Cricetulus griseus: one gene and its partners. The protein of the gene in region 2 purifies or fractionates together with the protein of the main gene of each other region. This does not show direct contact. Links are inferred from orthologs where the notes say so. Each region holds a gene or a part of one and is shown on either strand. Other genes may lie near its edges. The genes, in order: Trim25, G3bp2, Aurkb, Caprin1, Igf2bp3 and Stau1.

Region 1 (3,714 bases), on a different chromosome or scaffold from region 2:
AAAGGACAGGAAGAGAAGGTAGGCACTTGTGCAGTGAGTGACAAACTGAGTTGGTACCACGATTCTCCTCTTATACACACCCTCCGTAACTATCTCCTTGAGCACAACAGGGCGGGTGGGATAGGCTGTTACTGCACAACAAACTTACAAGGAACAGAGGAGGTACACCGCAGGAGTAAGGAAGACATCAAACCAGATAAAAGAATTAATCAAGAGGGCGATTATCCTGCCGGGGGAGGGGCAGACAGGATACTTAACTGGGTAAAAGACCTCAATAGAGGAAAGCGGGCCTTCCTAGATAGAGGGAGAAATGTTCCTGCTGGCTTGAGGAAGCATATGATGCCAAGTTGAAAGAAGGCCTCATCAGCCAGCCAGTAAGAAAGTGTACACTTGATCTATAGCCCCAAGGAACTTAAACTCTGCCTGTAGTCAGGTATGCTTGGAAAACAGCCCAGCCTGAAGCTAGACCATTGATGCCTTGTCAACAACAGGGAGCCACACCCAGATACTGAGCTAAGGGAACTGTGGGACAATAATCAGATGTTCTCCAAAGCCCCAAATTTAGGTAAGCTATCGCAGAGCATAGAAATACAGCGTGTCTCCGGGACACTTCCAGCCCCAACTCTGTGAGGTCCAAACTACTATCAACGCTGAGATATTCACACACACAGCAGCACCCTCGTCACGACTCACCTCCAGAAACTCAAACTCGTCCCCTTTGGACAGGGTGAGCTCAACCTCCGCCTTCAGGTTCTGCATCTCACTCTTCTTCTTGGCAAGAACCTGGTAGATGCTGTCCAGCTTTCCGTGGATCCGCTTCTCCTCCTCCTTCAGCTTACGCATCAAGTTGGTCTCCGCTGAATCAAGGATAGCCTTCATTTCCATATATTCTTGCCTCAGTTGTTCCTTTTTCCTGTTCATAGAGTCCTACAAGGCAAAAATGAAGGGGCTCCTGTCAGATGGGTGAAAATGCTAAGGCCGCATTCCTGTGTGTCGGAGAGAGGGGAGCACCAGGAACTGTATGACACTTCATGGCACCATTCTAGGCAGCCATGCCTCTGGAGGCAGAGGCAGGCAGATCTCTGAGTTCAAGGCCAGCCTGGTCTACAGAGTGAGTTCCAGGACAGCCAGGGCTACAAAGAGAAACCCACTCTCAACAAACAAACAAAACAACAAAAAGAATGTTAACAAGCACAGCCAGGTATGGTGACTCACAACTGTAATCCCAACACTTGGGAGGCTGAGATAGGAGGACCAAGAGTTCAAGGTCATCCTTGGCTTCATAGCATACTTGAGGCCAGCTTGGGTTATGTGTGACCCTTGTCTCCAAACTGGGGTGGGAGATGAGGGGGAGACAACTGTTCACAAGCATCATTGTTTGAAACAGCAAAAAGTGAGCTGGTCACAGTGGCACAGATTTATTATTCCAGTTCCTCTGGAGACTGAGGCAGGAGGGACACTTGAGCTATCTGGGGGTGGGGAAGCTAAGTACAGGAGAGACTTGATGCAAAGACTGAGAACCATCCTAGGATGAGACATTAAACGATAAACTGGAGGTACATGTGGATCCAGCTCACAAGGGAAAACACATAAGCTATGTGATTCTTTTCACACAAAGCTTAGACACTGAGGGAATGGCGGTGTTTGCTACCAAGGAATGCATGCACAAACAAAAAGGCATAAATATGTAAACACACGGGAATGAATGAGCTTGTGTTTAGGGTATAAATGATTAGGGAATAAATATGATAAATTAGGAACGGGGAGGGATACACTGCAGACGTTAACATAACATTTTATTTTTCAAGACAGGCTTTCTCTGGGTAGCCCTGGCTGGCCTGTAACTCACAGACAGCCACCTGCCTCTGCCTCCTGAGTGCTGGAATTAAAGGCATGCACCACCACTGCCTGGCCCCTAGTAAATTTTTAAAAGAAGGCATGAAACAATTTCAAAAACTTCCGGAAGAGGATTATTCCCTAGAACTCTCTTTTTGAGTGTTCCACGTGGCTGCTGCGCATTTGAAATGTGCCAAATTCAAGAAAAGATCTATCATGACTCTTAGTAGACACTGGATGTCAAAGACTTGATACCAGACAGCAGTGGTATCCCCTTTAATCCCAGCACTTGGGAGGCAGAGGCAGGTGGATCTCTGTGAGTTTGAGGCCAACCTGGTCTATAGAGCTAGTTCCAGGACAGCCTCCAAAGCCACAGAGAAATCCTGTCACAGAAAAAATAAATAAATAAAAACAAAACAAGAAAATCAGAGATGTCTGGAATGTTTCTGGTAGACAGTGTTGCTTCAAAGGTTGTAGTTTTGAACAAACTTCTTGGTTAACCTCAATAGTTTAGAATCAAACATGACAAACACAAATACTGTACACCAAAAGAGTGGAATTCAACTTTTAAAAAACTGTTACATTTATTATTAATCACTATTATTTTGTTGTTGTGTGCACACTCCCCCCAGGAGGTCAGAGGGCAACTTTCAGGAGTTGGTTCTCCTCTTCCTCTGGTCTTGGGGATCAAACTCAGGTTGTCAGGCTTGTGCAGCAAGCCCCTTTACCCACTGAGCCATTTCACTGAGCCTCTCATCCAGCCCTTCCCACTACCTCCTCTGTGAACACCAGTGTCCTTCAGTGTTCATTTCCTCTTTTGCTCTTTAGTAAGAGAACACCCCAGGAGTGTCAAGTGGGTATACAGCTTCTCAGACTACATTTCCCAGACTACCCTGCAAATGGGCTTAGCCAGGGTGGCTAAGTGGCTAAATTGCCTCCCGTGAGGCAAGGCTAGAAGTAGTATGTGCAACACCACATTGATTGCTTAAGAGGAAGTTGCTTGTTGTTGGTATCTTCCATCTTGCTTCCCTTTTCCCAGGCTAGAGCAAACAGGTAAAGGTGACCCAGAGTAAGGACCCAGTTTGGGCTGAATTCTGCCATCTTGGTGGTAACTGCTATATGACCCTAACACAAATCCCAAACCCTACATGACATGTTAATAGTTGTTATTATTATTATTTTAGAAAATCTAGGTACATTCCAGTTGGCCATGGGCCACCTTTGCCTATCTTAGCACAAAAAAAAAACCCCTTCCCTCCTGCCTTGTGACACAGGGATCGGGGGGATCCTCTTGTTTTGCTACTACTTAACATATCCTTCTGCCAATAAATCCTTAATATATTACAGCCTGTGCAATCCTGGATCTGCCAGCATCTTTGTTCTTCAGTACCTTCTGCCTTGACAGCCAGTTTCTATAATAGCCTTTGGCTTAAAAAAAAAAATCCAGCTTCAATCAAAGGCATGAGAGCATCAAACTGTGGAGTAGTGGGACAGTAGGAATGTTCATTTGGAGCAAAGCCATGCTAAGGGTCAAGAGTTGCTCTTGTGTGGACTTAGGTTGTTAAACTGAACAAAATGAACCACCTTATTGATTTGCATTTAAATGGATCCTAATCCTAGGAGGTTAGCCTGCCCTCCAACCAACCAATATTCATAATTCTACCTTCACCCTGTAGGTCTCACTATCTTCTCAGAGGAGTTGTGGTTGCTTTGCGTGTGTTTCGGGGCGGGCGGGGGGGGGGGGAGTAGGGGGGGTTGAAACTTGCATCTCCACCAACACAACTGAAGCCATCAATGAAGGCACAGTTGCTGCATCTCAGCAATGGTATTCTTAAAATTCCAGCTCCTTTCTTTCAATATAAAGGTAATATGGTACCA
Region 2 (3,714 bases):
GACCTCACCTTCGGTGGTTCTTGAGGGAGAGAAGCAGGTTCGGAGGGAGGAGGGGTGGTAGACTTCTCCTCTAGCTCTTCCAAGTTTTTCTCCTCCACCTGTGGTTTCAGCTCTTCAGCCTTTGTTTCAGACTCAGGCTCGGGTTCAGGTTCATGAGAGGGTTCTTCTAAAGGCTCCTCTATGCCATTACTACAATGAAAAATCTAGGTCACCAATCAGGAGATCAAATGAGATAAAGATCCAAACTAACAGCTGTGTTCATGTGCATGCAGGGTCAGTGACGAGATTCAAGTCCTGCCTGTTGTGCACATACTAGTAAAATGGCTCTACCTGAGATTCACATCCAGTTGAAACCCATCTTTCTGCTGGTTTTGGTTTTGTTGGTTGAGACAGGATTTCACTATGAATCCTTGGCTGGCCTCAAACTCAGTGAGATCCACCTACTTCCCTCCTCCCTTTTAGTGCTGGGATTAAAGGTGTACATTACCACATCCAGCCCCATCAATTGTTAAAAATGGTTATTATTCTGCACCTAAAGAAGGGTGTTTTGCTTACATGTATATGTGTGTCATATACATACAATGCTCCTGGAAGCCAGAAGATGGCATCAGATTCCCACATCTGGGGTTAAAGACTGCCATGTGGGTGCTGGGCATCACACTCAGGTCCTCTGTAAGAGCAGCCAGTGCTCTTAATGGCTGAGCCATCACTACAGCCACACCCCCATCATTTTAATGCTTATTTTAGTGCCATTATAAAATCCTGTGCTTAATTTTCTAATTAGTGTTTGAAGGGACAATGCATGATGGTCAGAGGAATGAAACTAAGGACACCAGGCCTGCAGGGTAAGCAACTTCCTGGGTGAGCCACTTCTTTGTCCCCTACATGACATGACATGTGTCAAATAAAAATAAGTTTATAGAAATAAACGTATTGTCCCTCAACAGTATGTATGTAGACAACCACAGCTCTGATACGAACCATGTGGAAATTTTTGAATGAATAATTTTCATTATCTTGATCTATGTTCTAAATAACCAAATACTGGCTTAAATATGCAGTTTTAACAAAAATGTATTTCCAGGGGCTGAGGGTGTAGTTTGGTGGCCAAGTGCATACTTAACATGCATTAAGGTCTGGGGTTCAATTCCTAGCACCAAAGAATAAGCATTAAGTTCCAACAATAATCCTAGAAACAACTAGGATTCAGTGCAAGTACAGGCGGAAGCTGCTAGCTAGCCTTACGTCACAGGAAGAGCGTCATAGTAAGCGCTGTTAGCATTCTCTTGAACAGGTTCAGGAGATGGCTGCCTTTCTTCTTGCTCCTCTTCCACTTCATCTTCTGATTCTGACAACACACAACGCACCAAGTCTTTTTAAAAGAGGGCTCATATACTCTCACATACTACAGTATGTTTAAGTGTATGCTAGAAAGTCAGAAGACTGATAAAGGCAAGTCATTCACTGGGATAATCCCTGTTCTCCACAAACTAAATAGAACAAACAGGACCAAGTTTAATTACTATGCTGTCTTTTAACAAAATCAATTAGTAAAGAAAGGAAAAGCTTGCAATGAAGCTAAAAACCATTTTGTTTCTGTTGCCACCTCTATTTAAGAGCAGTATTGATAAGAAGGAAAACAAACTGGTACTTTTTCAGTGGAAGATCAGTACTGCCACAACTTGGACAGGCAACAGACAATAAGGGAAGACGAGTAAGCTCCATGCCACATAGGTAATTTTGATAAGAAAGTGCCTGTGTCCCCAAAACAATTTCAGAGTATGTACCAAACTCTACAGTATAGTATGGAATCTATACAGACATGTCACCTTGGAAACTCACCTTCATCAAGTTCTGGTTCAGAATCACCAAATACTTCATCTTCATAACGAAACATATCATTGTGAACATAAAATTTGTTTGGGACAGACCCCTATAGAAAAACAACATGTAATCTCAACTTTAGTACAACACAAGTAACCTGAACTAAATATAATTATCTAGAGCGGAGTATGTTTAGATGTTAACAAAAGAAAAACAAAACAAACCACCAAATGAATATTGGATGAGCGTGGTGGCAAACACAGACGATTCTACCATTTGGAAGAGTGAGAAAGGAGGGCCACACGTTCCAGGCCAGCTGAGCTACAGATTCTCTTTTTAAAAAATTGTAATAGTAATAATACCCATATGAAACATCAAAATAAAGCCCAGCATGATGTATATGCTAATGCTTAAAAATAATTATTAAAATTCAAAACACTCTTCTCAAAAAGAAACTCTTTAAAAATCTCTCAAAAACAATGGCAAATTGACTCAGAGATGGCTCAATGGTTAAGAACACTGGCTGCTTTTGAAGCCCCAGGTTCAATTCCCAGCATGGTGGCTCACGACTTCCTGTACCTTCACAGTTGCAGAGGATCTGATACCCTTCCCACCTCCATGGCCAGACTCACACCCATACATGCAGGTAAAACACCCAAACATATAAGAACCAAAATTAAAAGGGCTAGAGAGATGGTTCAGAGGCTAAGGGCATTAGCTCTGCTCTTCTGGAGGACCAGAATTCGATGATAAGTAACCATGGGACAACCATCAGTTCCAGGGTTATGCCCTCTTTGGCCTCCAAGGGCACCAGGCATACATGTGGTGCAGACATAAAGACAAAACACCCATAAAAATAAGTAAAATTCAAAATATTAAATAGTTTATTAAATATTAAAAAATAGCAACAAGCAAACCCAAAACTATAGGAAGAAACTCTTTAGCATTCCAACAAACTGTTAGCAAACATATCGCATAAATACAAACTGAATTATGAGAACTTACTTCTGGAGCCAGAACAAATGTTTGCATGAACTTCCTCTCCGGCTGTCCACTGTTAGACAGCAAACCCATGACCTGCACAACCACGCCATCGCTCAAGGTTGCGTGAGCATCCACATGACGAATTTTCGTATGACACTCACTGAAGTTCAGAGATAACACTTTGTGGTGTATATCCTTTACAGAAAAGAGGTGAAGAAAATAAAAATTTTTGTGCCACCACACTAACTACACATTGTTATACGTACATACATTGTTTATTTCCTCATGACCCATAAAAATGAACTATTGGCCTTTTTGGCAATAATCTGAATCCAATCCAGGAAACTATGAATTACAATCAGACTGCCTGCTAATTGCCATCTTTACTCTATACTGAAGCCCCTAATCTCTGAAGTCTGCTCTTCCATCAAGCTATAAAGATTATTCTGTACTTTGCTGGAGCTCGAGAAATTACTTTCTCAACTACTTCATGTATAAAAAGCAACATTAGAAGTTCTCCTTTTAAATACATCCCATTATAATACATTTCTACTAAAACTGACTCTGTGTAGCAAAGAATCACACACTAGAGAAACCCAGTGAGTCCAGAAAGGCTACTTGTGTTTGTTTGTTTTGGTTTTTCGAGACAGGGTTTTTCTGTGTAGTTTTGGAGCCTATCCTGGCACTCGCTCTAGAGACCAGACTGGCCTCGAACTCAGAGATCCACCTGTCTCTGCCTCCCAAGTGCTGGGATTAAAGGCGTGTGCCACCAATGCCCGGCCCAGAAAGGCTACTTTTAAAACCTGTCTTAATCCAAAGACACTTGAAAGAGTTAATTTGTGACTTACATTTTGGCCATAAACTGCTTCCTGGGGCTTTCCACTGGCATCCACTCCACCATGGACA
Region 3 (3,967 bases), on a different chromosome or scaffold from region 2:
GGAGGAGCTGTCGGATGCACTGATGTACTGCCACAAGAAGAAGGTGATTCACAGGGACATAAAACCTGAGAACCTGCTGTTAGGTCTCCAGGGCGAACTGAAGATTGCGGACTTTGGCTGGTCTGTGCATGCTCCCTCCCTGAGGTATGGTGGGGCTCGGGGGCTGTCCCTCGTGTGAGGCTGTGATATACAGCTCTTCTGCAAGTTGTTCCTTGAGATGGGGTTTGTCTCCATGCAATATAGATGTAGCAAAGTCTTTACAAAAATAGGTAACACAATAATTCATGCTCTAAATTTTCTACTCTTTCTATGAAATATAGTGGGCCCTCTCTTACCATATCATTGTGGAAACTCCCACATGATTGATTGATTGATTGATTGATTGATTGATTGATTGATTGAAACAGGGTCCTATGTAGCACAGAATGACTTCAAACTCACTATATAGCCAAAGATAACCTTAAATTTCTGATCACCCTCCAAACATAGCTGAGTTACAGGCAAGCATCACCATGTCAAGTTTACCCCTGCCGACCCTGTTCATTCTAAGGAGATACGGCCTCACCGAGTTCCCCGGGCTGTTTTTAAAGGCCCAGGTGCAAATGAGTATCTGGTATCACAGGCATACGCTGACATGCCTGGTTACCAAGGTCACATTTTATTTGATTTGGTTTGGTTTTAGTGTTGAGGATGGAACCCAGGGCATTGCCTATGTTAGGAAAATGCTCTTTCACTGAGCCACATCCCTCAGAACCGCTTCCCAGTTTTTTAACTGTTTGGTTTTTTTTGAGACAGCGTTTCTCTGAGTAGCCCTGGCTATACTGGAACTCACTTTGTAGACCAGGCTGGCGGCCTCAAACTCAAAGAGATCCACCCGCCTCTGCTTCTTCCTGAGTGCTGGGATTAAAGGTGTGCTTACTATTGCTTGGCCTCTTCTTTTTAATAATTTATGTGCATTGGTGTTTTGTCTGCATGCATGTCTGTGTGAGGGTGTCAGATCTTGGAGTTACAGATAATTGTAAGCTGCCATGTGGGTGCTGGGAATTGAACCTTGGTCCTGCAATCAGTGCTCTTAACCACCGACAAATCTCTCCAGACCTCCTCTTCACAGTTTTGTTTGTTTGTTTGTTTGGGCTTTTTTTTTTTTGGTTTTTTGAGACAGGGTTTCTCTGTGTAGCTTTGGAGCCTATCCTGGCACTCAAGCTGGAGACCACGCTGGCCTCGAACTCACAGAGATCCGCCTGCCTCTGCCTCCCAAGTGCTGGGATTAAAGGCATGCACCACCAACGCCCGGCTCTCTTTACAGTTTTTAGACAAGATTTTACCCTGTAGGCCTACCTGGCCTCAGACTGACAATTTACCTCAAATGTCCAATTAAGCCAGAGGTAGTGGCTTATTCCTTTCAGTCCAGCCCTAGTGAGGCAATGGAAGGTGGATCTCTCTGAGGTTAAGTCCAGTCTGGTCTACTTAGTGAGTTCCAGGCCAGCCAAGGCTGTATTATAGAGAGAACCTGTATCAATATTAACAAAACAAAAATCTTGCCAAGGATTGGGATTAGAGGTGTATATCACAGTATCTGGTGACCTGATCATTGTTTAACACTTCTTGGTATTGCACAGTAAAAATATAAACCGACTTATTTAAGTAGTGTATATTCGGTGGATATTAGAGATGTTTTCTGTTTCTTCTTTGAAATGAGCATTGCCCTCATCTCTGATTGTTTTTATTTATTTTTTACTTATTGAGATTAAGATAGCTGGGCGGTGGTGATGCACACCTTTAGTCCCAGCACTTGGGAGGCAGAGGCAGGCAGATCTCTGAGTTTGAGGCCAGCCTGATCTACAGAGTTAGTTCCAGGACAGTCTCCAGGACAGTCTCCAAAGCTATACACAAAGAAACTCTGTCTCAAAAAAACAAAAAATTAAGATAATCCATTAGTGTGGCCAGACCTTCCTGGGATCTCTGAGCTGCCTACTATCAAGTAAAGAGAAAAGAGAGGCTGATTTTTTCGAGGCCCTACCCACTTCTCATCCCATCAGGAGGAAGACCATGTGTGGCACCCTGGACTATCTGCCCCCAGAGATGATTGAGGGGCGCATGCATAACGAAATGGTAGACCTGTGGTGCATCGGGGTGCTCTGCTATGAACTGATGGTGGGGAACCCACCCTTTGAGAGCCCTAGCCACAGTGAGACATACCGTCGGATTGTCAAGGTAGGATACCTGCCTGGGCTCTGTGTGCTGTGGAAGCCAGGGTCTGGGGTGGGCAGGGTAGATTTATAGGGCTCTGCACAGTCTCCCTATTTCATGAGCAGTACTTATTCTCTGACAACTTCATACAAATGCACCTTGATCACCCACCCCGACTCCTTTCCCAACACATGCCCCACCCACCGTCATGTCCTTTTTCTTTTTATAGCCCCCTGAGACCAGCTAGTGCTGCCAGCAACCTACCTGTACCCACACTCCCAAAGGAAAATGACTTCCTTTCTTTCCCTCAGCAGCCATCCATTGTTAATAATGCCTCCTTTGGGGGTTGCAAAAATCTCTTGAGTTGTCAAGGAAAATGTAGTCAGGGTAACACAGGTGAAACCTTTCTCTTTTCTTCCTCTGCAGGTGGACCTGAAGTTCCCTCCTTCTGTACCTGAGGGGGCCCAGGACCTCATCTCCAAGCTGCTCAAGCATAAACCCTCAGATCGGCTGCCCCTGGCCCAGGTCGCAGCTCACCCTTGGGTGCGGGCCCACTCTAGGAGGGTACTGTCTCCCTCTGCCCTTTAGACTGCTTTCTTCATTTTTGTCTCTGTTGTTTGTATATTTGTGTATGTGTTGGGGGGAGGGAGGGTTGCTCACAACCATCCCCAAATCCCGTTCTAAGGAATCTGACCTGTCTTCTGACCTCCACAGGCAAAACCATGCACACATGTGGTGCACATATGTGCAGACAAAACATATATAAAACAACAACAAAAAAAACACAGTACTGGAGAGATGGCTGAGCAGGGCTGTTTTTCCAGAGAACCAGGAGTTCAGTTCACAGTATACCACATGGTGCTTACAACCATCCGTAGCACTAGGCATGGATGTGGCACACATATACACAGTCAGAATTTTAAGGAGCCATAGAGTCTGATTTCTTTCAATTTGCCAAATGTTTTAAAATACCGTAAGTCAAAAATGCATTAATCCGTGAAACATGTTTAGTCTAGCCTATCTTAAAATTCAGAAAAATTATGTAGCACAAAGTATATTTTATAATAAAGTCTTAAATATTTCATGTTTTTGAATACTGTTTTGAGAGTAAAAAGTAGTGGTTATACTTTGGTAACATTATGAAGCCAAAAACCCCAAGTTAGCTTGGCATGTTGGTCCATGCACTCAGGGGGCTGAGTCAGGAGAATCACCATAAGTCTGGGACATCTTGGACTACAAATCACGTTCCAGGACACACAGTGATGCAAGTAAAACCTTTGCCTGCTCATGGGACTCTCTTCCTCCTGTTGGGCTGCTGTGTCCAACTTAAATTTGAAAGTTTTGCATAAGGGGACAGAGGAAGCTAGGGAGGAGTGGGGTGAATAGAACAAAGCATTATGGGGCTGGACTCAGCACTTAAGAACTCAGATTTGGTTCCAAAGAACTCAGGTTAGGCAAATTCACAACCATGGGATCTGACCTTTTTGTGGCTGTACACATGCACATGAATTTAAAAAAGTGTAATGGTATACATGTTTGAAAATGCCACAATTAAGTCTATTTCTTTATTATATTCTAATAAATTGTAATTTTAAGAAAATCCACAATTTGGTCAAAGTCCTCAGGAGCCAGTCACTTGCCCCAAACCCATCAGCTAGTAATCAAACCCCAGAACATAACTGTTTGGGGACATCAAAGGTTCAAACCATAGCACCATCCTATATATGGACTATTATGTAGTTCTTTTTAAATAAACATTTAATCAGTTGGTGGTGGT
Region 4 (3,714 bases), on a different chromosome or scaffold from region 2:
CAGTAACAGGGAAAGTCATTCAAAAATTAAAATTTGGACTCAAGATGAAATTTTAGAAACAGAGCATTTCATTTAATCTTTAGCAACAAGTCGGGAAAGGATAAATGCACTCCTAACATATAACCTACATGCAGACTATGAACAGCTCTTCCAAGGCCAGAACAGAAGCTCCACATAGGAGCTAGGATCACCACCACAAAATATTACCTCGTGGGGCTCCCCGTGGTCCACTCTGCCCAGAGCCTCGCTTGAAATTCTGCTGATATCCATCCTAAAAGACAAGCTAGTTAGTATTGAAAAGGAAACTGATTTTGTATACCTATACCTAGTCTCATAGCTCAACACTAGCCAAATATCTAACTCCTTCTAGACATCAATGTATTACAGCTAAGTTACTGTTCTTACTATGCTTCCTTTAAACTCAAATATTTACATATAGTTGCTTTGAAAACCCTTTTAGCAATCTACATCAAGTGGTTATAGGTAATGTTTGTAAAAAAAGAAAACAACAAACAAAAAAGCCCCACAGCTATCACTTTTGTAACAAAGTATATTGGACACCACAAACTAAGCCCAAATCACTTAGTTACCAAGATCCACCATGTTTACATACCCGCTGGTAGCCAGAATAGTCCCGGGGAGCACTGAACTGAGACTGTGTATAGCCACTGTTTGGAGTGTTTGAGAATGAAGGGCGGTAACCATCATATCCTCCTAGAATTTAAGACAAGGAAACAATTTACTTTTCCTTACAAGGATTCTGCTTTCTTAAAGGGAAGTGTAAAAAAATAAGCCACACTACTTAAAATAATTTTGAATTCCCTGTGTTGATTCCATCTGTTTATCAATATCTAAGTACCACGTTTTGTCCACCTAGGAATGAACACACACACCTAAACAAACTGGTAATGGAGACAAACCTATAAACAAACACCTGTGTGACAACTCAGTGTTTATCTCCCAATTTTTGTCATTTAAAAAACTGGACAAAATAAGCCAGGCATGCTGGCACATGCCTTTAACCCCAGCACTCAAGAGACAGAGTCAGGGAGATCTGGGTTTGAGGCCACACACATATAACACACTTCAAATGTTTTAAATTATGCATTAAGGGACTAACACAGAGGCAACTCTTTCCCAAAAATCATGAAACATGTCTCTACTTACTTTACAAATCATTAAAGACTTGAAACTGCACAAAGTAATTAGAAGTTGCTTCATTTATTTGTTTACCTCTAAATCCATTGGCAGGGCCCCTGTATCCATTCATCAAGCCTCTGGCACCACGAGACCCTCCTCGGGACACACCACGACTGTTGTAATAAGGCTGACTGCTGCGTGGAAACCCAGTGTTCTGCTGAGGGGGTTGCTGGTGGTTTCCAGGCACTTGATGGGTCTGGTCCTGGGAACCATGGTAAGTGCCAACCACTGTTAAAGGAAAATATACATAAACAGAGTTCATTACTGTTCTTTCTCCCACATACTTTCTGAATTATATAAAATATTCTACACTCTATTCTCAAAGTTCAATTATTCAAATAAATCCATTAATAAAAACCTGTAACACTAAAAAGACCCTATTTCTTCCCTCCTACCTGTAAGATTAAGCTAAAGAGGGCATTTCCCCAATAGTAATTCTAGACCTTGGAAAGCAGAGTTTCCAATACTATTCTTCCACACATAAAATTGGAAAGGGCTCTATATTTCCAACACCTTCTGAAAGTAACTGACCTTTTAGCAAGAGTAGACTCCATAAGTGAGAAAATTAATGATGAAATAGCATATATATATATATATATATGTCAATTTTTTCATTATAAAGCTCCTTAATAATACACTTATTTCCCTTGGCACTTAGTGAAACACACAAAACCATACTCATAGTTAAGTAGCCATACAAAAAAATGTCATCAACTGTAATTGAAACATTAGATTTTCAACTTACATCCTTTGGTGTCCATCTAAAATGACAGATAGAGCTAAGTGGTATTCACTCTGGTATACAGCCTTATTGGAAGGGTGAATACTGGAAGGGTGAATATATGACTTTACACCCACCCACCCCTTCGGACACACCTCCACATTGAGGAGTTACACAAAATAAGTCAAACATTAAATATTGATGTATATTATCTGATTATTATTTGAGTGTATATAATTCACTCAAGGAAAAAGGAGAGGAAAAAAAAATCCTAAGTACCTTTGGAAGTTGAGGAAACTAACAACCAAAATGGCTCTCGAACTAGAAATAATGTACCTGGAACACCACCAATTCCTGGAAATTTAACTCATATATCCTCCCACCCACTCCAAGAAATTATAGATAGTGTTTTTTCTCTAGCATGAAAAAAGCCACAAAATGCCTATGCAGAGAAGAATAAAGGGTTATGGTTCCTTTCAAGCTACTTAGCTGCACTATATATTACAGTGATATAATCTTTCTATACAGATTATGCTTGATTATATTCAACATAAAAATTAAGCAAATGCCAAATGCAAATTACAATCTAGAAGGTTCATTAGTATGCATTTGAGTAACAGTAAAAATAATGAATTTTCAAATCATATTTTTGCTGTTGTCTTGAGACAAATCTCACTACACAGCCTATGCTGTCCTTGAACTCAGACTCTTCTGTCTCAGTTTCTCAAGGACTGGATTACAAGTATACACCATCACACCTACCATCAAATCAAACACCCTTTGGTTTTCAAGACAGGGTCTCACCCGGTGGTAGTGGTACACTACTTTAATCCCAGCACTCGGGAGGCAGAGGCAGAAGGATCTCTTTGAGTTCAAGGCCAGCCTGGTCTACAAAGCTACACAGAGAAACCCTGTCGAAAAACCGAAACAGAGTTTCTCTGTTTAACAGTCCTAGTTGTCCCACAACTCGCTCTGCAGACCAAACTGGCCTTGAACTGACAGAGATCTGACTCTCTATGTTAAGGTGTGCGTCACCATTGCCCAGCTATCAAACCATGTTTTATCATTAAGAATTATCTTAAGGTTCTCCAGACACGGCTCAGGAGTTAAGAGCACTGGCTATTCTTCCAGGGGACCTGAGTCAATTGCCAACACCCATACAGAGACACAACTATCTGTGATTCCAAGAATCCAAAGCCTTCTCTGGCCTCCTCCAGCAACTGGGAAAGCACATGGTGCACAAACATGCAGGCAAACAACTAGACATGTAAAATGATATTCTGCTATACACTGTTATCAGAGGTTTCACCCAGCAAGAGACCTACAGCCAAACACTAGTAGTTCAGGGAATCATGTAGAAGAGGGGGAGGAAGGTCTATAGTAGGAAGGACTGTAGGATATAGGGTCAAGGGCACCAAAAGAAAATCCACAGAACTGCCAGGCAGTGATGGCACACACCTTTAATCCCAGCACTTGGGAGGCAGAGGCAGGCTGATCTTTCCCAGTTTGCAGAGTGAGTTCCAGGACAGCCAGAGCTACACAGAAAACCCTGTCTCGAAGGAAAAAACAACAAAAAATCCACATAACCAACTAACCTAGGTTCATAGGGATCCACATAAACCGAACCACCAACCATGGAGCCTTGGAGCCTGCAGGGGACTAACCTAGGCTTTTTGCATATATGTTACAATTGTGTAGCTTGGTCTTCTTTTGGTACTAAAGCAGAAGTTGTCTGACTCTGTTGCCTACTTTTGCAACCTATTCCTCCTACCAGATTGCTTCATCCAGACTTA
Region 5 (3,714 bases), on a different chromosome or scaffold from region 2:
GTACCACATGAGCCCTTACACTACAGAACACTGCCTTGCCATCTCACATTCAAGATTATGTGAAGAGCAGTGTTTTAACTGTACGCCCAAAGCTTTCTGTTCTTAGTGAAACAAGATAGAGAACAACAGACCTAACATTTTCCCACCATCATTCCTCAACACACATCACACTGGCATCTCTGAATGGAAGGAACTGTGCAGGAATATTTGATTTTAGAAATTGGTGTTTGAGTTGCTGATTTGAGTTTCATTTTTAAAAAGTTAATCATTAAATAATTTTGGCTTAGGATTCAGACAGAATTTCCAACAACGTACAGCAGGGCCTAAACATATTCGTACTGTTTTGTTCTACATATTTACGTGAAGCAGCAGTGCGTGCAACACCATGCAAAGAACCAAAGCATTGATCCACTCTGCGCAACCTGAAGATGCTCCGTGTCCCCAGGTGTCAGCTACTTAGCCAAGATTTAATTCTTTATATGGCAACAAAGAAGGCACCTATCTCATTACTACCAAATCAGTTTTCAACTTTAATCAACTGCAAAATTACATGAATACCAAGAATTATTTTAAAAGATTTTTTAGATTATGCTTGACTTGAACCTTACAGAGCATTTTCTGTCACGTGTAAAATTTCTCAGGTAAAAAGGGGTCACAAGTAAAATTTAAGAAACATCAACATAGATAATGGTTCAATTGTTCTCCCCACCCACTAATTATGTATTTGGAATCATTAATGTTGCACACAGGCACCCAGCACTCAGTGTCTCTTGCTTCAAAGCAGGTGTGAGGGGCTGGAGAGATGGCTCAGCCGTTAAAGGCTAGGCTCACAACCAAAGCAGGTGTGAGCAGGGTAGGGTGTCCCAGCAGGGCTGGATGAACTTACAACCGTCACTACCATACAATTCTTTTAGGTTCTGAATGAAACGAAGTCTCCCAGTTAACTGCAGGCAAGGTGCATCAAAGAGCATGGATGCCTCAGAGGCCACGGAACACATCTAGCCACAAAGGATACACAGCTCTATGGCACCATTTCCAGAAAAAACAAAAAACAAACAAACAAAACTCAGTTTCTCTAATCTCATGAAATCTTCATTCTTACTAAATGTAAAAAGTAAAACCATCCAGTCATTTCTACAGCTGGGTCACTCTGCAGAAAGACACTGTTTTGCATACAACCTCTTCTCCCAGCAACTTCATAAGTCATCATTGTGCCCTTAGGCAATGCACGGGCTTCCTGTGCATCAGGCAGTGACCCTACACACCAGGGCTGTGGTGATAAATGACAATGGTTCCCGCCTGACTCCAGCAAAGTGAGCTCTGATGTTTGATCAGGATTTTCCAATCCCTTAAAGCCTGCCAAACAGCATTATTAAACATCCTCAAGAAAAAGCCATTCTATTAGTAATGACATCAAATGAAAATAAAAGAAGGGAGGGGGGGAGGGCAGAAAGGAAGGGAGAGCCATTCTAACTTCAGGACAAACTTAAACCAGAGGATGAATTTTTTTTTTAATTTTACTTATTTTTTTAAAATTTTACTTAGTATTAATTCTTATGTGAGTGATGTGAGTATGGATATATGCGTGCCTGAGTAAAGAAGTCAGAGGGACTGGAAAGATGGCGAGTGCACACACAGACGCACACATTAATAAATATAATTTAATTTAAAACATTTTTGATAAGTCATAAGACAACTTTCAGGAGCCTGTTTTCTCCTTCTATTGTGGGATGCAGGGATGGAATGCTGGTGGCAGTCCTGCCTGGTAATTGCTTTCAGGATGAGCTATCTTCAAACTCACTACAGAGCTAAGAATGCCCAGGAACTCCTGCCCCTCCCTCCTGAGACAGGTGTGTACCACCACACCACCCGGGGGTGGACTATTAGTCTCCACTGAAGTGAACACATGATAAAAATGCCATCTTCACACTGATGCCAAGACAAAACGGGGACTCTGTAGGCTGGCTGGGGGCGGGAGAATGACCTGTCCACTGCCTTTCCCATCACGGTGACATCAAGTACTGTTTGTTTTCCATTCATGTGAGGTTTTATACTGCCAGCCAGGCGTGATCACGTCACAAGGCTTCCCCTGCCGCATTCCCCAGCACTGTAAAGGAGAGCCCCCAACTCTCTTCAGAAGGACACCAAGTTCCCACACATCACACCCTGACACTAAACACAGAGGGAGGAAGACAACAGCAGCGTGGCCACCATTCCCACATACTCACTTGGACTGGGTCTGCTTGGTGATGTTCCGAATGGTGGCACCTTCCTTCCCTATAATGGCTCCAACAAACTGCGTGGGGACCAGCAGGCGCAGAGGCAGGTCGCAGGGCTTCTGCTTGGACACTGACCCTGGAGATGCCTGCCTGGACGAGCCCCGCTGTCCTGGACCCCGGCGTCCTCGGAGCTGCAGGGAGGGATTTTGCTGGGCAGCCGTTTCATCGGGGATGTAGGCGACCTTCAAGGTGAAGTTCTCTAACTGGAATCCATTCAGTTTGTCTAAGGCTCTGAAAATTCACAAGAGACAGTGGGTGGTGGGTGGAGCGGGAGCGGTGGCATGGTAACCTTGTCCACAGCGGCCACCCATCTCTTCCTCCCAGAGCTATCGGCGACGAAAGCTGCTGTTCCGGACAAACCCTACCACCACCACCACCACCACCACCACCACCACCACACTCCTCTATGAAGTCTGCACTTAGGGAAGGCCAACGGCTTCCAAGGCAAATAATTTCCATCTACCAGTGAGAGACAGAAACAAAAATCAAGTTAAATTCTTTTTTTAAAACAATTTTATTTTAGGTGAATTGGTGTTTTGCCTACAGTGTAGCTCTGTGTGCGGGTGCCAGATTCCCCTGGAACTGTAGCTGCAGACAGTTGTGAACTGCCATGTGGGTGCTGGGAATTGAACCCATGTCCTCTGAAAGAGCAGTCAGTGCTCTTAACCAATGAGCTATCTCTCCAGCCCCAAGTTAAATTCTTGATTCAGTTCAATCAAGAATCACTGTTGAACTGCTTGACTCATGGTGTGAGACAGTCTAACAAACAGCCGTAGAATATATACTCATTCTATCAGTTCTGTTTCTCTAGAGTTCTAATACAAACATTCACAAAAATGTAATAATAAAGTCTATTGCTTTTGTGTAATTAATACATGCTATTAAAAATATTTGCAACAACCATGGTAAACTTAAGGAAAAAAAAAGTTAGTAATGGCTTGGAAATATACCAAGGGAAGGAGCGCACAGCTCTAAAGGGGTTGAAGAATCGGTGAGCAAACAGCCCTACCAACTACAGGACACTGGTCTTACACTGGTAAGATTTCAGGATGAGCCACAACCAGAAAATAACTGCAATTCCCTCATCTGGGTAGGGTTTTGATCTCAAGAAGATGAACAAAGGGAAGAGAAGGAGGGAGGAGGCAAGGAAGCTGTTCTATCCACACACTGACTGCACTTTGTATCTGCTTGGGGAGGGCCTGAGCCTTCGCCCACCTTTTCAACTTTACTGTAACATTAATACATTTATATGGCATTGCACACATCCAGATTTTTAAAATGAAATTTCTTACTGGTGGGGATGCTTGGGGCACATGTGGAGGTCAGGGGACTTTGGAGTCAGCTCTCTCTCTCTCTCTCCACCTTTATGTAGGTTCCAAGAACCAAACACAGGCTGTCAGGCTGCACTGTAAGAAGGCATGGACCTTTACCTGCT
Region 6 (4,332 bases), on a different chromosome or scaffold from region 2:
TGCCTGTCTCAGTCTCCTGAGTGTCAGGGTCAAAGACTTTCATCACTGCTCCATTTTTCAACTAGTCATTAATAGCTCAGGAATAACTGACTCGGTTCATAAGGAGAAAGACTGAAACCTGGGCTCTACCTTGAGGAGGGGAATCCGTTAACTCTGCAGCTGTTTTCCTGCTTTGTATTAATCATATCTCAACAAAGAAGCCAGACTCCCCCCCAAACAAAAAACAAAAAACAAAAACTGTCAGTCAGCCTGAGGTGATCTAGTTAAAGTCAAAATGACTAAGATTATGATAAGTTTGGGGGTTGTTTCAAAACAAGCTAGATTAGAGCCAGGTGGTGGTGGCATATGCCTTTGATCCCAGCAGAGGCAGGAAGATCTCTGTGAGGCCAGCCTGGTCTAGTGATAGAGTTCCAGGACAGGCTCCAAAGCTACAGAGAAACCCTGTGTCAAAAAAACAAACAAACAAAAAACCAAAAAAATAAGCTAGCTTAAAGGAGGGAGTTCAAGTAGAAACAAGACTGACCTTAGCTAGGAGTTAATAATTGCCAAAGCCGGGCGACCAATACACAGTGCCCTCTATAGTGTTTAACTTTCATACTTAAAAATAACTTCAGAAGCCAAGCATGACAGCTCACACCTGTAATCTCTGCACCTCAGTGGGTGAGACAGGAGGACTGATAGGAGTTCAAGGTCAGCCTAAACTAGAGATACTGAAAAAAAAAAAAAAAAAAAAAAGGCTAAAAAAATAACTTCAAGTTCTCTACCACAGCATTAAAATATCACTTCCCTGAAATAATTTTCGATGTGACACAGAATATGCTTGGTGATACTTACAGAATCGTTTGTTTGAGAGCTGTTAAAAAGCCATTACATTCAACAATACACAATACACAATATTTCCTGACAGTTACAAATTTTTGGAAGATATCAAAAACAGTAATGCCTTGCATTATTGAGATGGGTGTGATATAAACATTCGCCACTTACTAAGGAAATTCACTGCCCAAAACAATCTGGTGATTGTGGGCTGAAGAAATGGGTAGGTCATGCTTAGAGACTGTCTCACAAAATAAGGCAGAGAGCCATTAAGGAAGAGCAAGACAGAGGTTGACCTCTGGCCTCCACAGGCACACAAGGGCATGCATATATGAACTGTCTCCCCCTCCCCCCCCCACACACAGAGTAATCCTAAGGCATAGAAGAGTCGTTGGGCACAGCAAACACACCATATTATTCTTGCGAATGAGTTTGCATGTCTTTAAGGAAGGGGATGTCTATGTCATTAAGCACATACTTAAAACAAATACGGACACTTTGAGATGGGCTCAGCAAGTGAAGCAGTTGCAGCAAGGAGCCTGATAACCTTTGAATCCCAAAACCTTTGAATCCCAAAAGTTGTCTTTCCACTTCCCCAACAGCTGCCGCTGGTGTAACACTCAAAAAAAGAACTTAATCTTGAGAGAGAAAGGCTGAGTCAGACTAAAAAAGAAGCTCTTCTAAAAGCTCACCAGAATGGTTCAGACTGCCCCTTCCACACTCACCAACTGTATTTTTTAGTTTTTACTTCAACAAGTAGCGACGTAATTTACATGTGATAAGCACAGATGCCTAAAAGGCCAAAATCCTAGTTTAAATCTCTTCTAGCACCATCTCAAGAATTACAGCCACAAGCAGATGAAAAGAGTGACCCTAAAGAAGGCCCCCACATCACGAAGGGCAAAACAAAATAAAGTTTCTACACCAGCAATACTGCCACAGAAAGGGAGTTGTGCTCAGGGTTTGGGGAAACTGCTAACTGGGACCTTAGAGTGAAAGACAAATTCAACCAAAGAAAGTGAAGATCTGCAGATGCGGACCCGGAAAGCAGGGTTTCACATCTGCACACTGCACCTCCAGAGCCTGACACACAGGAGGGGAGCCTGTGCCAGCAACTTTCCCAGAAAAAAGAATGACAACAAGGTTCTGGATGGATGGTGGCAGGGAAACATGGGACAGGTTGCTGAGCCTGGGGGAGCGGTGGGTTCCCCGCAGCTGCTTCTACAGAAAGGATGGCTACGTCTTTACATCCAGATGTGCCTGCAAGTGTCCCCATTAAGCGCGCGCCCCTTTCCGATGCTAAGCAAGCACAATGCCCAGGCGCTGGGAGTGGGCACGCGGGTTCTTCTGCCTCGGAGGAAAGCGAAATGGGAAGGTAGGTCAACTTCTGTCCAGTCTGCACCCTAAATTATACCTTCATATCACGCTAATAAATTATGCAAACCGTTTATTGGGACACGACATGGGTCTGGCACGCTGATAAGCGCTTTACACGCCCCCAATTCACTGCACCTTCACAGTCGGAAGAGGCAGGGACAGGGCTGGGACAGGATTAGCCTTCTACCCCCCTCCCGTCCCCTCACAACAGAGACACAAAGAGTGTGAAGTGGCTCGCGAAGGGGCAGAGCCGGGAATTGGCACCCCGTCCCGCGGCTCGGCAGTGGCTGCAGCACTGTGCACAGCGCCGAGACCCGGGGGGCTCCCGACCGGCCCGGCCCCTGCCCGCGCCCCGCGTCTCACTCGGGCACCGAGCCCACGAGCGGCGCGGAGGGCCCGCCTCCTCCGGGAAGGGCCCCGGGCGGGGACGGGCCTGGGCCGCAGCTCGCGCGCCCGCGAGGCCTAGCCCACCCGCCGCCCACCTCCCGCTGCCGCCGTGCCTACGAGGGCCCCACCGAGGCCCGGGCCCGGCCGCCTCACCTGCCTGCTTCCCCGGAGCTCGTCCACGGGCCGGCGGTCCTGGGCGGCGGCGAGGACGGGAAGGAGCAAGGGAGGAGGGCGAAGGCGAAGGGACCGGGGAGGGAAGAGGCGGTGTGGCCGCGGAGGAGGCGGGCGCCGCCGGGCCGGGGGGACAGAAAAAGGGGCAGACGACACAGGCGCGACGGCCGCCAGCGCAAACGCTGAAGAGCGGCTCCGGCGCCCGCAGCCCGGCAGGAAGTGACGGGGGAGGGGCCGCGCCCGCCCCGGCCCCCGCCCGCCTCCATGCCGGCCCCCCCCACCGCGGCTGGGACCACAAGTCCCGGCGGGCGCCGCAGCCTGCCTGCGCCCTCTAGACACGCTAGGGCGTCAGGGGCCGGACAGGTTCTGTTGTGTCGGGGCATGCTGGGAGTTGTAGTTTCGCGGGAGCTCAAGCTGGGCCGAGAAAGCAGGCCTGTCTTCCTTTCTTTCTCGGGTTTATGCTTGCTTCTGCGCAGTCACTCCTTCTCTATGTCAGCATTTGTTAACCTGCTGCCCTGTGCTAGGTCAGAAGCTGAGAAAGCGGCTGGGATGCACATGTCCTTGCCCTCATGACGTTTACATTCTAGTGCGAAGTATGAGCCTGAAACAAACAAGCACAAGTGTTTTCTGGCTGCTCTCACACCCCTCTAAGCAGAGTGTGCTTCTGTGGACAAGAGGCTGGTGTGGGCTTGTTTGATGCAGTCCTGGGAATTGAACTATAAACCACTTCTACCAGTGAGCTCCATCACCCACTCATCACATAGTTTTTTAAGCTGACTTCTTAGATTTTCTTGTTTTAATTTTTTAAATTGTGTATGTGTATGTGTGTTTAGATCACTTGAAGTATGTGCTATATGAGGAAAGCAAGATTGAAAAGCACTTCAGAGTTCAGATAAGCCATTCCCAAATTGGCTGGAAAATTGTTACACTGGACTACCTCTAAATGTTAGAAGGAGATATCATGGAAGAAAGCCCTCTTTAGAAAGCAATAGAAAAAGCTGGACTTCGTGACTAACACCTCAAACTCCAGCACTTGGGAGGCTGGACAGGATCTCTATGAGTTCGAGGCCAGCCTTGTCTACAAAGTGAGTTCAAGGGCAGCCAGAGCTGTAACACAGAGAAACTATGTCTCAAAAAGAAAGGAAGGAAGGAAGGAAAGAAGGAAGGAAGGAAGGAAGGAAGGAAGGAAGGAAGGAAAGGGAAGGGAAGGAAGAGGCCAGGCATTGGTGGCGCAAGCCTTTAATACCAACACTCGGGAGGCAGAGGCAGGTGGGTCTCCGTGAGTTGGAGACCAGCTTGGTCTACGAGAGCTAGTTGCAGAATAGCCTCCAAAGCCACAGAGAAACCCTGCCTCAAAAAACGAAAGAAAAAAAAGAAAGGAAGGAAGGAAGGGAAAAGAGAAAAAAGAAAGAAAAGAAAGGAAGGAAGAAAAAGAGACTACAGCCAAGTGGTGGCAGTGGCAGTGGCGCACACCTTTAATGCCAGTGGAGGCAGAGGCAGGTGGATCTCTGTGAGTTCAAGACCAGCTGGTCTGCAGAGAGAGTTTCAGAACGGCCAGAGCACTTACACAGAGAAACCCAA

What was found.
Region 1: the proteins of G3bp2 (region 2) and Trim25 purify together in Homo sapiens (affinity purification with mass spectrometry; 4 studies listed by BioGRID and IntAct, counting the BioPlex papers as one, with this or other methods). This does not show direct contact. The link is inferred for Cricetulus griseus from reciprocal best matches to the Homo sapiens genes G3BP2 and TRIM25.
Region 3: the proteins of G3bp2 (region 2) and Aurkb purify together in Homo sapiens (affinity purification with mass spectrometry; 3 studies listed by BioGRID and IntAct, with this or other methods). This does not show direct contact. The link is inferred for Cricetulus griseus from reciprocal best matches to the Homo sapiens genes G3BP2 and AURKB.
Region 4: the proteins of G3bp2 (region 2) and Caprin1 purify together in Homo sapiens (affinity purification with mass spectrometry; 5 studies listed by BioGRID and IntAct, with this or other methods). This does not show direct contact. The link is inferred for Cricetulus griseus from reciprocal best matches to the Homo sapiens genes G3BP2 and CAPRIN1.
Region 5: the proteins of G3bp2 (region 2) and Igf2bp3 purify together in Homo sapiens (affinity purification with mass spectrometry; 3 studies listed by BioGRID and IntAct, with this or other methods). This does not show direct contact. The link is inferred for Cricetulus griseus from reciprocal best matches to the Homo sapiens genes G3BP2 and IGF2BP3.
Region 6: the proteins of G3bp2 (region 2) and Stau1 purify together in Homo sapiens (affinity purification with mass spectrometry; 3 studies listed by BioGRID and IntAct, with this or other methods). This does not show direct contact. The link is inferred for Cricetulus griseus from reciprocal best matches to the Homo sapiens genes G3BP2 and STAU1.

Annotation. Positions count from the first base shown.
Region 1 is NC_048600.1:102,146,008-102,149,721, reverse strand, and holds part of Trim25 (E3 ubiquitin/ISG15 ligase TRIM25), read right to left. Parts: intron 928-3,714; coding exon 694-927; intron 1-693.
Region 2 is NW_023276807.1:156,813,031-156,816,744, forward strand, and holds part of G3bp2 (ras GTPase-activating protein-binding protein 2), read right to left. Parts: coding exon 3,657-3,714; intron 3,004-3,656; coding exon 2,830-3,003; intron 1,934-2,829; coding exon 1,843-1,933; intron 1,349-1,842; coding exon 1,246-1,348; intron 190-1,245; coding exon 9-189; intron 1-8.
Region 3 is NC_048600.1:82,925,164-82,929,130, forward strand, and holds the end of Aurkb (aurora kinase B), read left to right. Parts: coding exon 1-144; intron 145-2,039; coding exon 2,040-2,214; intron 2,215-2,616; coding exon 2,617-2,778; 3' UTR 2,779-3,274; downstream 3,275-3,967. UniProt on the Homo sapiens protein: Serine/threonine-protein kinase component of the chromosomal passenger complex (CPC), a complex that acts as a key regulator of mitosis.
Region 4 is NC_048599.1:73,878,205-73,881,918, reverse strand, and holds part of Caprin1 (caprin-1), read right to left. Parts: intron 1,429-3,714; coding exon 1,234-1,428; intron 715-1,233; coding exon 614-714; intron 272-613; coding exon 208-271; intron 1-207. UniProt on the Homo sapiens protein: mRNA-binding protein that acts as a regulator of mRNAs transport, translation and/or stability, and which is involved in neurogenesis, synaptic plasticity in neurons and cell proliferation and migration in multiple cell types.
Region 5 is NC_048601.1:92,227,037-92,230,750, reverse strand, and holds part of Igf2bp3 (insulin-like growth factor 2 mRNA-binding protein 3), read right to left. Parts: intron 2,511-3,714; coding exon 2,229-2,510; intron 1-2,228. UniProt on the Homo sapiens protein: RNA-binding factor that may recruit target transcripts to cytoplasmic protein-RNA complexes (mRNPs). This transcript 'caging' into mRNPs allows mRNA transport and transient storage.
Region 6 is NC_048599.1:12,445,889-12,450,220, reverse strand, and holds the start of Stau1 (double-stranded RNA-binding protein Staufen homolog 1), read right to left. Parts: upstream 2,973-4,332; 5' UTR 2,734-2,972; intron 1-2,733. UniProt on the Homo sapiens protein: Binds double-stranded RNA (regardless of the sequence) and tubulin.